Nothobranchius furzeri: one gene and its partners. The protein of the gene in region 2 purifies or fractionates together with the protein of the main gene of each other region. This does not show direct contact. Links are inferred from orthologs where the notes say so. Each region holds a gene or a part of one and is shown on either strand. Other genes may lie near its edges.

Region 1 (4,220 bases), on a different chromosome or scaffold from region 2:
GGTAAAATCGGCTTACGGGGGTTTCACAAGAAATGACAAACACGCAAATTATTTTCCAGATATTTTACACTAACACTGCTTTTGCATTTGACTTCCTGTCTGGCTCATTCTGAACTGAAGAGCTTGACGTGTTTCTGAAGCGTAGCTTATAAAAAAATAGCCCCATTCCCAATACTCGCACTGCGCCCTACGGTCTTCAGCGAAGTGCACAGTAAGGCTTCGAGTGTGTAGTACACAAGTGTGTCTGTGCTACTTTTTAAAAAGATCTTTATTAACAACTTTCAAACAATTTCTTGACAAAATATACATTCACTGCTGTTCACATTAAATCTTATTCTAAACCATGCAGAGAATAAACACATATCATCATTAATTGTCTTAAAATCAAATTATTTTATTTGAAAATATATGGAGCTAGGATTGGGACAATATTCAGCGTAACTTGTACCAAGTTTTGTAACTTCGAACATGTTTCATCACATGTAACTTTGGATTTGTAACTTGTAACTTTAGTTTTCTAACTTGCAATTCTCAATTCGTACTTGTATTTCTTGTTTTGTAACAGGAACGTTGTATTTTGTACATGTATTTTTTATTTTGTAAAAACAAACTTTTACTTTGTACATTTACTACTCATTTTGTAACATCAAACACTGACGCTAGAATCGAGACAAAAAGATCCGTAACTGTAGATTTGAAGTTTGTACCTGTAGAATGAAATGTGTGTTTTGAGAGTTTTGATTTCAAACTTGTACCTTGATTTTTTCCATTTGGAAGTCTGCTAGTTACAAAACGAAAGTTTCATGTTTCTGAATGAATGTTTGATGTTACAAAATGAGTAGTAAATGTACAAAATAAAAGTTTGATCTTACCAAATAAAAAAAATACATGTACAAAATACAACGTTCCTGTTACAAAACAAGAAATACAAGTACGAATTGAGAATTACAAGTTAGAAAACTAAAGTTACAAGTTACGAATCCAAAGTTACATGTGATGAAACATGTTTGAAGTTACAAAACTTGGTACAAGTTACGCTGAATATTGTCCCAATCCTAGCTCCATAAAAATACATATTTTCAGAAAAGCCACTTGAACCACTGTTTTGCCTTCTCAAAATTCCCACGCAGTAATGGATACGGGTAACACCCCTCGCTGAATTTGCATCAGTGCAAACTTGGGCAAGGATACAAGGGACAAAAGAGTCACGGTCAATTTCCACAATTGAGGATCGGGATATCCCACACCACTGCTATTCAATTTCGGGCCTCAAGGGCCGGTATCCAGCACGTTTTGGTTTTAACCCTACTTCAACACACCTGATTTCCATCAGCAGGTGATTAACAAGCTTCTGCTGAGCCTGCTGCTGCATATGTGATTGCAGTACTAGATTACATCCTATGTGTATATATACATGTACCTTTGTTTTTATTTTAATTATCCTCTGAAGTGTGGGTGCTGCTGTAACAAGTTAATTTCCCCACCTTGAGATCAATAAAGTCAAGTCAATTCTACTCAACCACTGAATAAGTGTGTTGGACTAGAGAAAACACTAAAACGTGCTGGATACCAGCCCTCAAGGCCTGGAATTATATAGCTGCCCTACACACTCGCACCCCTGGACTGGAATGCGTAATTAAGGGGCGCAAGTGGGAGTATTTGGATTGGGCCATAGCCTTGAAACAGAATGATAGCGTCCCTTTACTTCTGGGACGTGTCCACAATGTCACACTTGGCTGAATTTGAAAAGGAACCTGTCCACTATAACTGTGGCTAATTGCCATGTAATACGTTTTGCAGCCGTTTTCACAATCAACGGAAAGAATGGGTTATGCAGGTCCAGGAGGCACTATTGAGCATGTTTTGTTTCTCTGCTTCAACACACCTGATTTTAATCAGCATGTGAAGCTTCTGCAGAGCTTGATAGGCTGCTGATTCAACCATTGAATCTGGCTTTATGGAGCAGGAAAACAACAAAACAACTCAGTGTTGCTGGCTATATACATTTACACATACATATAATGCTTTAATGTTAATTGATACGCATTTTTAAAACCTTTTTAAACAGATTAAAGTACTTGTTTTAACGTTTGCACTGTATAAAACATCGAGGTTTATATAGCAAAGTCAGTGGCGCCATGAGCAAACACAACAGTAGCTGAGAGAAATCGAAAGCAGTGACCTACGCAGTTTCAAGAAATAAGCGTATTACCAGTTCATTAAAAATTGCATAGAGTAAACATAATACAAAACGTTTGCCTCAGAGTCTAGACAGCGAACTAAAAACTGACCCACTTTTTCATTGGCTAGCAATTTGTCCCCACCAGAAAATACTGACAGAGGCTAACACCCATACGTAGTCGGCGAACAGAAAAAAAAACAATTAGCGGCTTCGCAGATGCCTCTGCGAAAACGTTTAAGACCTAAATACGTTTAGGTGGGTGTTGTCTACGGTCGGCACTTCGTGAAATGTACAAGAGGGCGATTCTGCTCCGGAAAAGTTCACATTCCGGAGCTTCGCCTGTGGATGTAACATGTTAGCTCTAAGTTAGCTTCCGCGGCCTGCTGGAGCGCAGCAGTCCCACTTACCGGCGCTGCTCCCGGGACGGTCGAGCTTCAGGATGTCGCGAAGATGCTGGGTCGCTCCCTCAATGTCGATGTCAGAATTCGACGCCATGGGTGAGGGAAAAGGAAAACGGGGTAACACTGAGGAGGGAGTTCACTTTAGGTTTAAGGAGACGCTCACCATTCACCCACAGCAACCGTCTAAACTTCCGTTTAGTCCGCGCCTTGCGGGTTCCGACTCACCATCGTGCCATGCCAACATTGGTTCCTACCTCAGAATGTCCATCTTCCATACACCCACGCGTACACATTTACTGTAGTAAAATATATATATTTACAGCAACTACATTTTCAAAACAACCCGTTATTTAACCACTAAGAGCAAGAACTTTTGCAATCGTTTAGTGGTTCAGGCTTTCTTTTTCAGACTGGTATTTGACCATAGTAGGATATTTTTCAGTATATGCTTAAAATGGTTAAAGAGCAAGTCACCTCCTACCAGAGTCTTACTCCACTCCCACTCCTGGCAGACTGAGAGGACGGAGTTGCTACCAAATGCACACAGGGTGTGTATATGCATACTTGTCCGAACTCATGTACTCATGTTCTTTGTGAAATGTCATCAGCGAAGTCCCAAGGACTGTTCCAATCCTGAGTATGCATAAAGGTGAGTTTGCTCAAAGTTCCCCAATGTGTTCTTGTTCCGCCCATTGGATCGAGGATGCATCAATGCATCCTTCTGCGGACTTGGGATAGCAAAGTTTCCCATAATGCATTGCGTCACAAACTGTTAAACTCTGAACGTCAGAGAAAAAGCTAACGACCAATGTTTTATATTACAGTTACAAATAAAACAATATAAAGTTGTGTGTTATTGTAAATGAATGTGTGTAACCTGTACATTTTGCTATGTGTGTTTGAGTTTTACTCTTCAAGAGCCCTGAAAATGCTAATTAGCAAACCCACTATCAAAATAAAAGCAGCTTAGCTCAGTTCTGATGAAAAATAAACTATTTATTCATTAGACTGCGGAAAATGCTAAAATTTTATCAGTTTTGATCAAAGTGGGTCAAATATCATACAAATAATAAATTTAATACAAGTAATATGTTTTGTTGTTATTTAAGGAACAAACTAGACTTTTATTTTTATTTTTTTATGTTCTTTTTTTTAAAGAGCAAGTCAACCCCTGCCAGATTCTTACGTAACTCCCACTTCCTGTTTGAAAAATGCAACAAATGCTGTTGCCTAGCAGACCGAGAGGGCGGAGCCTCTAACAAATACACACACTCACGACATTGTGACATCATAATGTACCATCTAACATCATAGATTACCTTTTAGCCAATAGTGATGGCAGATTTAAATTCAAATGCAGTGCTGAGTTTTTGCCTGACGACAGTGCATCGCTGACAGTTTTAGGCAAAATATTTAAATTTTATCTAAGATGCACTAAAGTGCCAAATTATGGACTACATTTGTCTACAGCACAATTGGACACTCATTTATTATCAGCAATAAAAATGGTGATTTGGAGTGACTTTCTCTTTAACTGTAGCAAGAAGCAGCGCTTGTTGCCAGGACACAACAGAGTATGGTTCTGTTCCAAATGCCGTCTTCGTCCTCTACTACTTGGTAGAACAGACTTTCTGGTG
Region 2 (4,289 bases):
GCTGGCTGCTTTTGTAGTGCTGTCAGACTCTTTTCCCACAGGCACACTTGGAAATGTGATTGTGTGAGAGGGCGCCTAATGTGGGTCTCAAGGAAAGTCAGGCTGATAAAATTTACTAAAATGTCCCGGCTTAGCTCCTTACATGGAGCTCCCACTCAGATGATCTGACTAACTACCCTTTCTGAAAGTTTCATAAGACTTTCTTACAGTAGAAAAGAAATGTCATTGTGACGTGGAAATGCTCTCACTTCTGACAACTTACACCAGCAATCTGAGCAGTAGTTTGAAAGCAATTTAAAAAGCAAGAAGCATTTAAAAAAAAAAGGCAATTATACCACTGATCCACCTGTCAACCACATCCATAATATGACAGAAATTACAAGTGGTGTTTTTTTGTCTGTGAAATTGTTTTATAAAAATCCTTCAAAACAAAGAAAATGATGATCGAACCTTTATGAGTAGTTGAGGTGAAATTCTGTTAGCTTTTAAAACAAAACAAAAGTATCTTCATTTCAGTTCATCCTTTAAAATTTAAATCTGGTGAGCTTACTAAAACTATATCTAATTCAAATTTAATTTCTTTCTGTGATTAATTGTTTTCCAATTAAAATTTTATTTGAATTAGAAATAGGCCTTCTTCTAGCTCGTATGATAATACTGAATTAAAACCATTTTTGGAATACAGTAAGCATGAATAAATACATGTATAGAAAATGAAAATAGAAAGAAACACACATATAGTAGAAATTCTGCTCATTTAGAGGAATGAAAGGCTATAATAAACATGTATGTGCATTCACAAGGTCTAAAATAATTAAGAAATACACACAACTTGGAAATACTCTAAGGTATGTGTTAGTAAGGTGCATCAAAACTATGTAAACATGTATTTGTGTGCATTAGGCCTTACAGCGTGCATTGCGGTAAAGCAGAAAAGGGTCCTGGAGCTGGAAGTCTAAATCTTTTGTGATGGGCTCTGTTAGATTCTCCATGCTGAGTCGATTCATGATGGTGAATCCATGCCTGGGAGATGCAAGTCTGTAAGGCGAGGAGGATGCAGCAGAAAAAAACCCAGTACCATCAGATATAATGAACAAACATAGGATTATCATGGCAAACCATATGTATATATACCCATATCTCTGATATTATGTCTTTACACTGCACCACTAAGTGTTACAAAACTTACATTTCTTAAAGGTACTCTATCGACCAAGTAAACACAAATCTTACCAAAGGGAAAAGAGAATAAATGGCAGAATAGGATTACAACAAATAAATCCTAATCCCAGCAGTAAGTATGGTGGTAGAATCATTAGTTTACTTATTACTGTAAAAATCACGTAGTTTTAAACGTAAAAACGTTACCTTGTGTAGATAAAAAGGGTGCCTTCCACTTCTGTCTTCTCCTAAAGAAAAACAAGGAACGTGTTGGGTTCTCTCTTCCATTTTTCCACATTTACCATCCGTTTATAAATAATACATTTACTACAAGAGCGGTAATATTTCTCTAAAGTGGTATAAGTTTAAATGTTCCATCATCGCAGTCTGGAGAACAAACAAAACTCAAAAGTATGAGTCAGATTATTTTCCACGACTAAGACCATAACCTTTTCCGTGTATAAAATACAATGCACTATTGTAGATCACTTATAACACACGTCAGCGTTTTTATTTAGTTTAGCATTCGCAAACAGTTTTTTAACATGAACTTACTCCCTGTTGTTAGTGTGTAATGACAAAACGCGCCTGCCAGTTGAAGCAAAGCTAAGCTAGCATATGGCATCTTTTACTAGTAGAAGAAAATATTTTCTGACTTACCCACTCATTTGTCCTGTTGTTATAAGTATACAGAGCAACTTGGCTGGCCACGTCAACAATGTTATTAATGTAAGGATCTTGTCGCTGCAGGGCAGCCAAACTTATATCCAGTCCTTTTGCAGTAAGGCAGCTAATACTAGCTGCAGGAGTCGTCATTGTTTCCTATGAAGACGTTAGCCAGCTAACTAGCTTTAGCGTCAATCGAGTTAAAAGCAAATTAAAACTGAACCAACGACGAGATAAAAATCAAGGTCATCGATAGATGTAAAAAAATTTAAATAACTCGTTAAAATTGTTTTTACAGCCTTTGAGCTTTAGCTATCACGGACTCTAAACTGCCATGTTTAGCCAAAACACTTGTAAACAACTTAGGCGTGAGTAGTTGCGCGGAAAAACTTCAAGGCTGAATAATCGACTCCGAGAAATCAATAGAGATACCGCGTCAAAGAACCGCGCGGGATGCAACTGAAATCGTCCTCAAAGCGACCCCATAGTCAGGCTCTTAATGATCCCTGCATGTTTTTATATACAATATTTTTTCCAACGATTATCTTTTATTTTTTGCCTATCATTTGTAAACTTATGGCTCCATATAAATTAACGGATACTCGTTAATTTAATTCATAAATAATATTAACACCAAAAACCAACATGAATAATTTAAGCGCCCATCCCATGTTTAGAAGAACACTCTTCCATGTGGCCATGCGTCAGGCAGTAAACACTGCTCTTTTGCAATACATTTGTTTCTCCAGCCAATAAAGCGATCTGACCATTTTACTAGCACTTTAAAGAGCAAGTCACCCCCTACCAGAGTCTAACTCCACTCCCACTTCATGTTTGAAAAATGCAACAAATGCTGTTACCTGGCAGACCAAGAGAGCGGAGCCGCTAACAAATACACACACACAGGCTCACAACAGCATTGTGACATCATAATGTACCAGTTTATATCATAGCATACCTCTTAGCCAATAGCTGTGGCAGATTTAAATTCAAATACAGTGCAGAGTTTTTACCTGACAACGGCGCAGCACTGACAGTTTTAGGCAGAATATTTCACTTTTAACTAAGATGCACCGAAGTGCCAAATAATTGACTACACGTGTCTGCAGCACGATTAGACACTTCTTTATTTAGTTTATCAGCAAAAAAAGTTGATTTGGGGGTGACTTGCTCTTTAAGTGAGTTATAATGGTATATCTGTTTATTACTCCCAGTAGAATCAAGCAGGTAATGAATGCACCTTTGTTTATTCCCTCCTGACTGAAAGAATGGCAGGCCGACTGACTGAGGATGTTTTGCAGTCGGCAAATGAAACGTTAGCAAGGTAAAGAGAAACCTTTCCTGCGTTTTAAAAAGAACCAAAAATGGAATTAGAAACACACAGTAAGAACACACCAAAGAGGCCTTAATAATGCCCAATCCACTGTTATAATTCCTAATGATACCACTGGAGGGCACCAAAGGGATTTCTAAAACGCTTCAAAATTTTAATGTTTGAGCTTCTGGGTGTGTGTGAAGCCTCAATACCACTTTTGATAAGGCCCAGAACAGTAAACAACAGTCTAAACAAGCTAAACTTCATTTCATTGGATACTCACTTTTTTTGAAACAACTACTGAAGTTTATTTCAGACGCATTATACTTTTTAACAGCTTTCAGTGCCTTGTTGGACCCTGACTGCAAAACTCATTCTCTTAGATGACTTTAACCAACTCCAGCTCTCTACTAAATAACCATAGAAATTATTCCAGTATTATTATTTTTTATTATATTATTATTTCTTCAAATGTACAGCTCCAAACTCTCACATTAACAATTATTCAGATTTTAACTCAAGACCTGGTCCTGAGTCTTTACCGACTGTATTCCCTACACTCCAACTCCATATGATCAGTCTCTCTAATGCCATTTCTATGGTCTTATTTCTGCACAATTTGTTTGTCTATTAATAAAATATTAATTTGTCTATTAATAAAATACGTGTAATAAAAACATTATATTTCTTTTCCTTTATACGTATTTTATTAATAGACAAACAGACAGTTATAAAAGATAAAAAAAAATAACACAATTATGAGGAAGAGAAAGACTGATCAAATGCTGGAGATGCTCTTTGATTGTAAAATGTCCCAATCTTGGTGTTCTATTTTCATCTTGCCCAGGGAAACCAAACAAAATCACTGGCAGTCAACCCAACATCTGGATTGGGAACACTGGGCAGTTTATAAAACAAATAAAATTGTTTCTAAAGTAATTTTTTATGCAAATTGCAAAATGACCAAAGTAGTTCTAGTGTTAAGATGACTTTTGCTGGGAAACAACATTAGAAATAGTCTGAATTGAAGATTTTAGATTTCAGGAAGGTGACACGTCTTTCCTGAAAATAATATTCAAGGATGGAACAGTAACAGACACAAGAAGAACATAACTTTCTGTGATATGAATATTGCATTTCCGTAGCC
Region 3 (3,993 bases), on a different chromosome or scaffold from region 2:
GGGATAACGAGGACAGCAATCTGTGGGGGTTTTCACTAATCTGCTACACTCTGGCCTCAATAATTGGCTCTGAAATACGACTGAGGGCTTATCTGTCATTTCAGAACGTGCAAGACTAGGAGCACAACAGAAACGGAGAGGAAGCTGACTGAATCCATCACAAGAGAGAAGAATATTATGATCATGCAAACGGACTAAAATGTTGCTTGTGAAGTGATTGTGTTACTATCAGATCAGACTAAAAACCGAGCCACATTCCTGAGGGGCAGTCTGAACATTTATCAAGAGTTCAAGACCACAAACAGCTGCAATGTGGCACAAAACAAATTCTAACAGCTGGGATTTTGTCATTAAAGGCGTGATGTAAAAAGTAAAATGTGCAACAGTGTCAGCACATTCACGAGTGGAGGCTGAAAATCACTTATGACATACAAAAAAAACAATTCTTGTGTTTAACACCAGCAGACATACTACCTAGAGAATGTTTCCAGTCTTGGATAACTGCTCCACCTTGTTGTTTGTTTCATGTCTAAGATATTTTATAACATTGAGGTGGGAGAAAAAAAAAACAACATTACACCTTTACAGAAGAAGATTGAACCTTCAATTATTCCATGGAAGATCTGAAAAAGGAAAAGACAGCAACCCATGGGGAAATAGAGGAAGTCCAGTTCAGAAAGCTTTCCTCTCCAGCTGGTCCAGAATGGTCTGGATTCTCTGAACAGCCTCTTTCCGGGCTTGACGAACACTCTCCTGTCCCTGAGTCTCCACAGAGTCTAGCTCCAGCAGCTCTTTGGTCAACAGTTCCTCTAGACACCGGTAGCTCTTGTCAGTTTTTTTGCCGACAAACTCATCAACATCTTCCTGAAGCAGCTGGACTCTGACCAGAACCTGCTGGACTTTAGCAAGCCCAGGATTGTCGCTCAGGGGCTGAGGTCCGGCAGGACCAGGAGCTGGTGGAGTCTCAGATTGTAAGGGGTTGGGATCGCTTCTCCCATTCTTGTTGTAAATCTGGGGAGGCGAACTTATTTCAGCAGGCTTTCCATTGGTTGAATTTGGAGACAGTGCTGGTCGGGGTTTCGGTCCCACATGAGGGGCGCGCTGGTCCTAGAAGAGAAAGTGGAATTTACCTGATTAAATTCCCGGCTCTTAAGTCATTTTTGTTTGATTAAAAAAGAAAAAGCAAAATGCACAAACTACAGAGAAAAAGCAGCGGACTCTTACTTTAGGCTGATAGGGTGGTGGAGCACCAGTTCCAGTACCAGGCCACGCTGGGGGATGTGGCGGTCGGACAGGGTTACCATAGGGACTTTGTGAAGGCTGCTGTCCATGCTGCCACTGTTGTGGTGATGGAGCATACTGACCTGAGTGACCCCAAGCTTCAGCCTGAGAGGTGGGATGGGGAGGCTGCCCAGTGGGATATGGTGGATTTGGAGGAACTGCATGTCCACCTTCACTGTAGTGTGAATAATGCCCTTGAGGATATCCAGGACCCTGAGGGCAAAAGAAACAAACCACTTGTTTTCCAAACAATACTCTAGTCATATTTCTACCAGTACTGGCTACATTTAGGGTTGATCTCCCACCTGGCATCTACTAGCTATGTGAAAACTTGCAAAAACCCACTCACGCCTTGACAGTGTGGGCCAGGATAGTGATGGTGTTGGTGCTGAGGGTATGGTGGCCCAGAAGCCCCACTACCCTGCTCTGTAGCACAGCCTTGGTTGGGATAAGAATTTCTTGGATGGTCAGCACAGTAGAAGGGGTTTGATGCGTGGAAACTGCTTGTTGAATACTGACTTTGTGCAGGGCTGTAAACTCCGTGGCCATTTGGATATCCTCCAGGCATCAGCTACACGAACAACAAAATAAGAGACGCAATGAGTAAAAAAAAATGTACTTAACATAAAGATAAACATATTAGGTAAGACCAAGGATTCTATTGACCTATCATCCTATTAGCTGTGGCTTAGAGAGGATAGGTTGTATTGCACAAGGAGCTGTACCTGTGGGTTGTACTGCTGCTGAACATCTGATCCAGAGGGATAGGTGTTTGCATAGTGCCCAGTGGAATGAGACTGTGGATACCAGTAATGTGACGCATATCCTGGATACTGAGGAGAATCCTGTTAACACAAGAGATATTTTTTATAACTAATAAAAGAAAACACCCCAAACATTATCTTTAAGTCCAACAATTAACTTTAGAGTCAACATTCTTCTTTCAACGTGGCTGTGTATCCTTGAAGGGACGATAAATAAATACAAAAAGTATAAATTAAACATCACTGCCGCTGAAATTTTGGTGTCTCAAAAGATTTATTATCAAGCTGAAAATATAAAAACAGTTAGCTTAACTAGCTCGTGCTATTACATAACGCCAACTAGCCAAGTTAGCCACTCCGCTAACACGAGCAACGCTAGCTAACTCGCTTCCGGTATGACTTATATACTAATTGAAGTCGGTTTTAGTCGATAATAAACTCATGAACTTTTTATTGTAGCCGTTGAACTTATCTGTGTCGTTTTCGTCTACTCACCATGTTGTTACTCCAGGTTCCGTGCTGATTTTCCGAGTTACAAGTAGAGGGCCAGTCTGGTTTAAGATTTGAATGCATTTGGTGCATCAGCTACGCGCATTCCCCATCCGCAGTCCCCTTGAGCAGCATTTTCCATAAATAAACCTTTAATAAGATAAGAGTTACTGGTCTAAAACACCAGCAAGTCCAAGGTGTTTCTACTCAGAAGTACAAATCGTCTGATTGAAATCAGGAAATGAGTCAATGACGCGAGGCTAGGGGAAACCCAAGCCTGTCTCTTTAAAACAGAGATTCGTCAAATATTGAGATGCTTCACGCCGATGCCAATTTCTGATAGTGTTAACGTTACTGCGGGGTCAGCATTGCCACGATCAAATAAACATTTCTTAAAACTAAAATTATCACAACTATGACATCAAAGGAGTGGTTACGATGCAAGTGGATTGGAAATATAATCTCATTCATAAATTTTAAGACTAAAACTAATTTTTCCCACGATATACGATCTTTGTCTAAATGAAAAACCCAACCACTAATGAAAACAAATATAATTTTTTTGTGAAATTAAATGCGACACTAAAGTGTTTTTAAAATATTAACTTGTTAAAAATCATAATATTGTCTTCAGGATATTAATATAAAGGATGAAGAGTAGAAATAATTATATTTATAAAATAACAATAGTTACTTAGAAATATTTCTGTAAATTCGCATTTTGGGGTCAGCAACCACAGACATATAGACCGTGTCACTCACTCTAACAGTCTTTTCGATCATTATTTAGCTAGAATTAAAGGTAAAACTGTACTTAGAATGGTGTGGAGTCCAAGGGCTAAGTTAGCTGGTTAGCTACAGCGCTACAAACTTTTACACTGAACGAGGAGGGTTTTTGGCGCCGTCCAGTGGCATCAAGCTAGAACTACACTTATTCCATTTTTAGTTCTTTTTTATAACACAGAAAATGTTTTTTATTTTATTTTTTTTTTTTACCTTGCTGACAGTTTCGTTTGCCGACTGTAAAACATTAGCAGTCGGCAAACAAAACTGTCAGCAAGGTTATAAAAAAACAACTAAAAATGGAATTAGAAACTAGACACAGCAAGTCTTTTGAAAGAGATTGGGAGATGGGGAGCGAGCGCCCTCCAGTGGCAAGAAGATTGAACTACACGTTAGTTCAGTTAAACCCGAAAAACGACGTAATCTTTGTTTTTGTCTTCTTGGGAAAATGAACATGAAGGATGAACGGTAGAAATACAAAAATGAACTATATTCATACAGTTACAATAGTTACTCAGTACAAATAACTTTAAATTGTTTAAAAAATACAATGGGATGTTGTTAGCAATAGGGGAGCTACTCTAAAAGTCTTTTTTCTCCCATTATTTAGCTAAAAACATTTAAAACTGTATTTATGTATAGATGGTTGTCTGGAGTCAAAGGGCTAGACCCAGCA

What was found. Proteins that work in one complex are often made in the same cells at the same time.
Region 1: the proteins of dcp1b (region 2) and edc4 purify together in Homo sapiens (affinity purification with mass spectrometry; 3 studies listed by BioGRID and IntAct, with this or other methods). This does not show direct contact. The link is inferred for Nothobranchius furzeri from reciprocal best matches to the Homo sapiens genes DCP1B and EDC4.
Region 3: the proteins of dcp1b (region 2) and bag4 purify together in Homo sapiens (affinity purification with mass spectrometry; 3 studies listed by BioGRID and IntAct, counting the BioPlex papers as one, with this or other methods). This does not show direct contact. The link is inferred for Nothobranchius furzeri from reciprocal best matches to the Homo sapiens genes DCP1B and BAG4.

The regions. Positions count from the first base shown.
Region 1 is NC_091744.1:83,067,506-83,071,725, reverse strand, and holds the start of edc4 (enhancer of mRNA-decapping protein 4), read right to left. Parts: upstream 2,801-4,220; 5' UTR 2,678-2,800; coding exon 2,590-2,677; intron 1-2,589. UniProt on the Homo sapiens protein: In the process of mRNA degradation, seems to play a role in mRNA decapping. Component of a complex containing DCP2 and DCP1A which functions in decapping of ARE-containing mRNAs. Promotes complex formation between DCP1A and DCP2.
Region 2 is NC_091741.1:47,712,272-47,716,560, reverse strand, and holds the start of dcp1b (mRNA-decapping enzyme 1B), read right to left. Parts: upstream 2,801-4,289; 5' UTR 1,978-2,800; coding exon 1,822-1,977; intron 1,410-1,821; coding exon 1,369-1,409; intron 1,039-1,368; coding exon 911-1,038; intron 1-910. UniProt on the Homo sapiens protein: May play a role in the degradation of mRNAs, both in normal mRNA turnover and in nonsense-mediated mRNA decay. May remove the 7-methyl guanine cap structure from mRNA molecules, yielding a 5'-phosphorylated mRNA fragment and 7m-GDP.
Region 3 is NC_091757.1:36,774,003-36,777,995, reverse strand, and holds the start of bag4 (BAG family molecular chaperone regulator 4), read right to left. Parts: upstream 2,801-3,993; 5' UTR 2,628-2,800; coding exon 2,541-2,627; intron 2,127-2,540; coding exon 2,007-2,126; intron 1,853-2,006; coding exon 1,631-1,852; intron 1,495-1,630; coding exon 1,225-1,494; intron 1,108-1,224; coding exon 673-1,107; 3' UTR 1-672. UniProt on the Homo sapiens protein: Inhibits the chaperone activity of HSP70/HSC70 by promoting substrate release. Prevents constitutive TNFRSF1A signaling. Negative regulator of PRKN translocation to damaged mitochondria.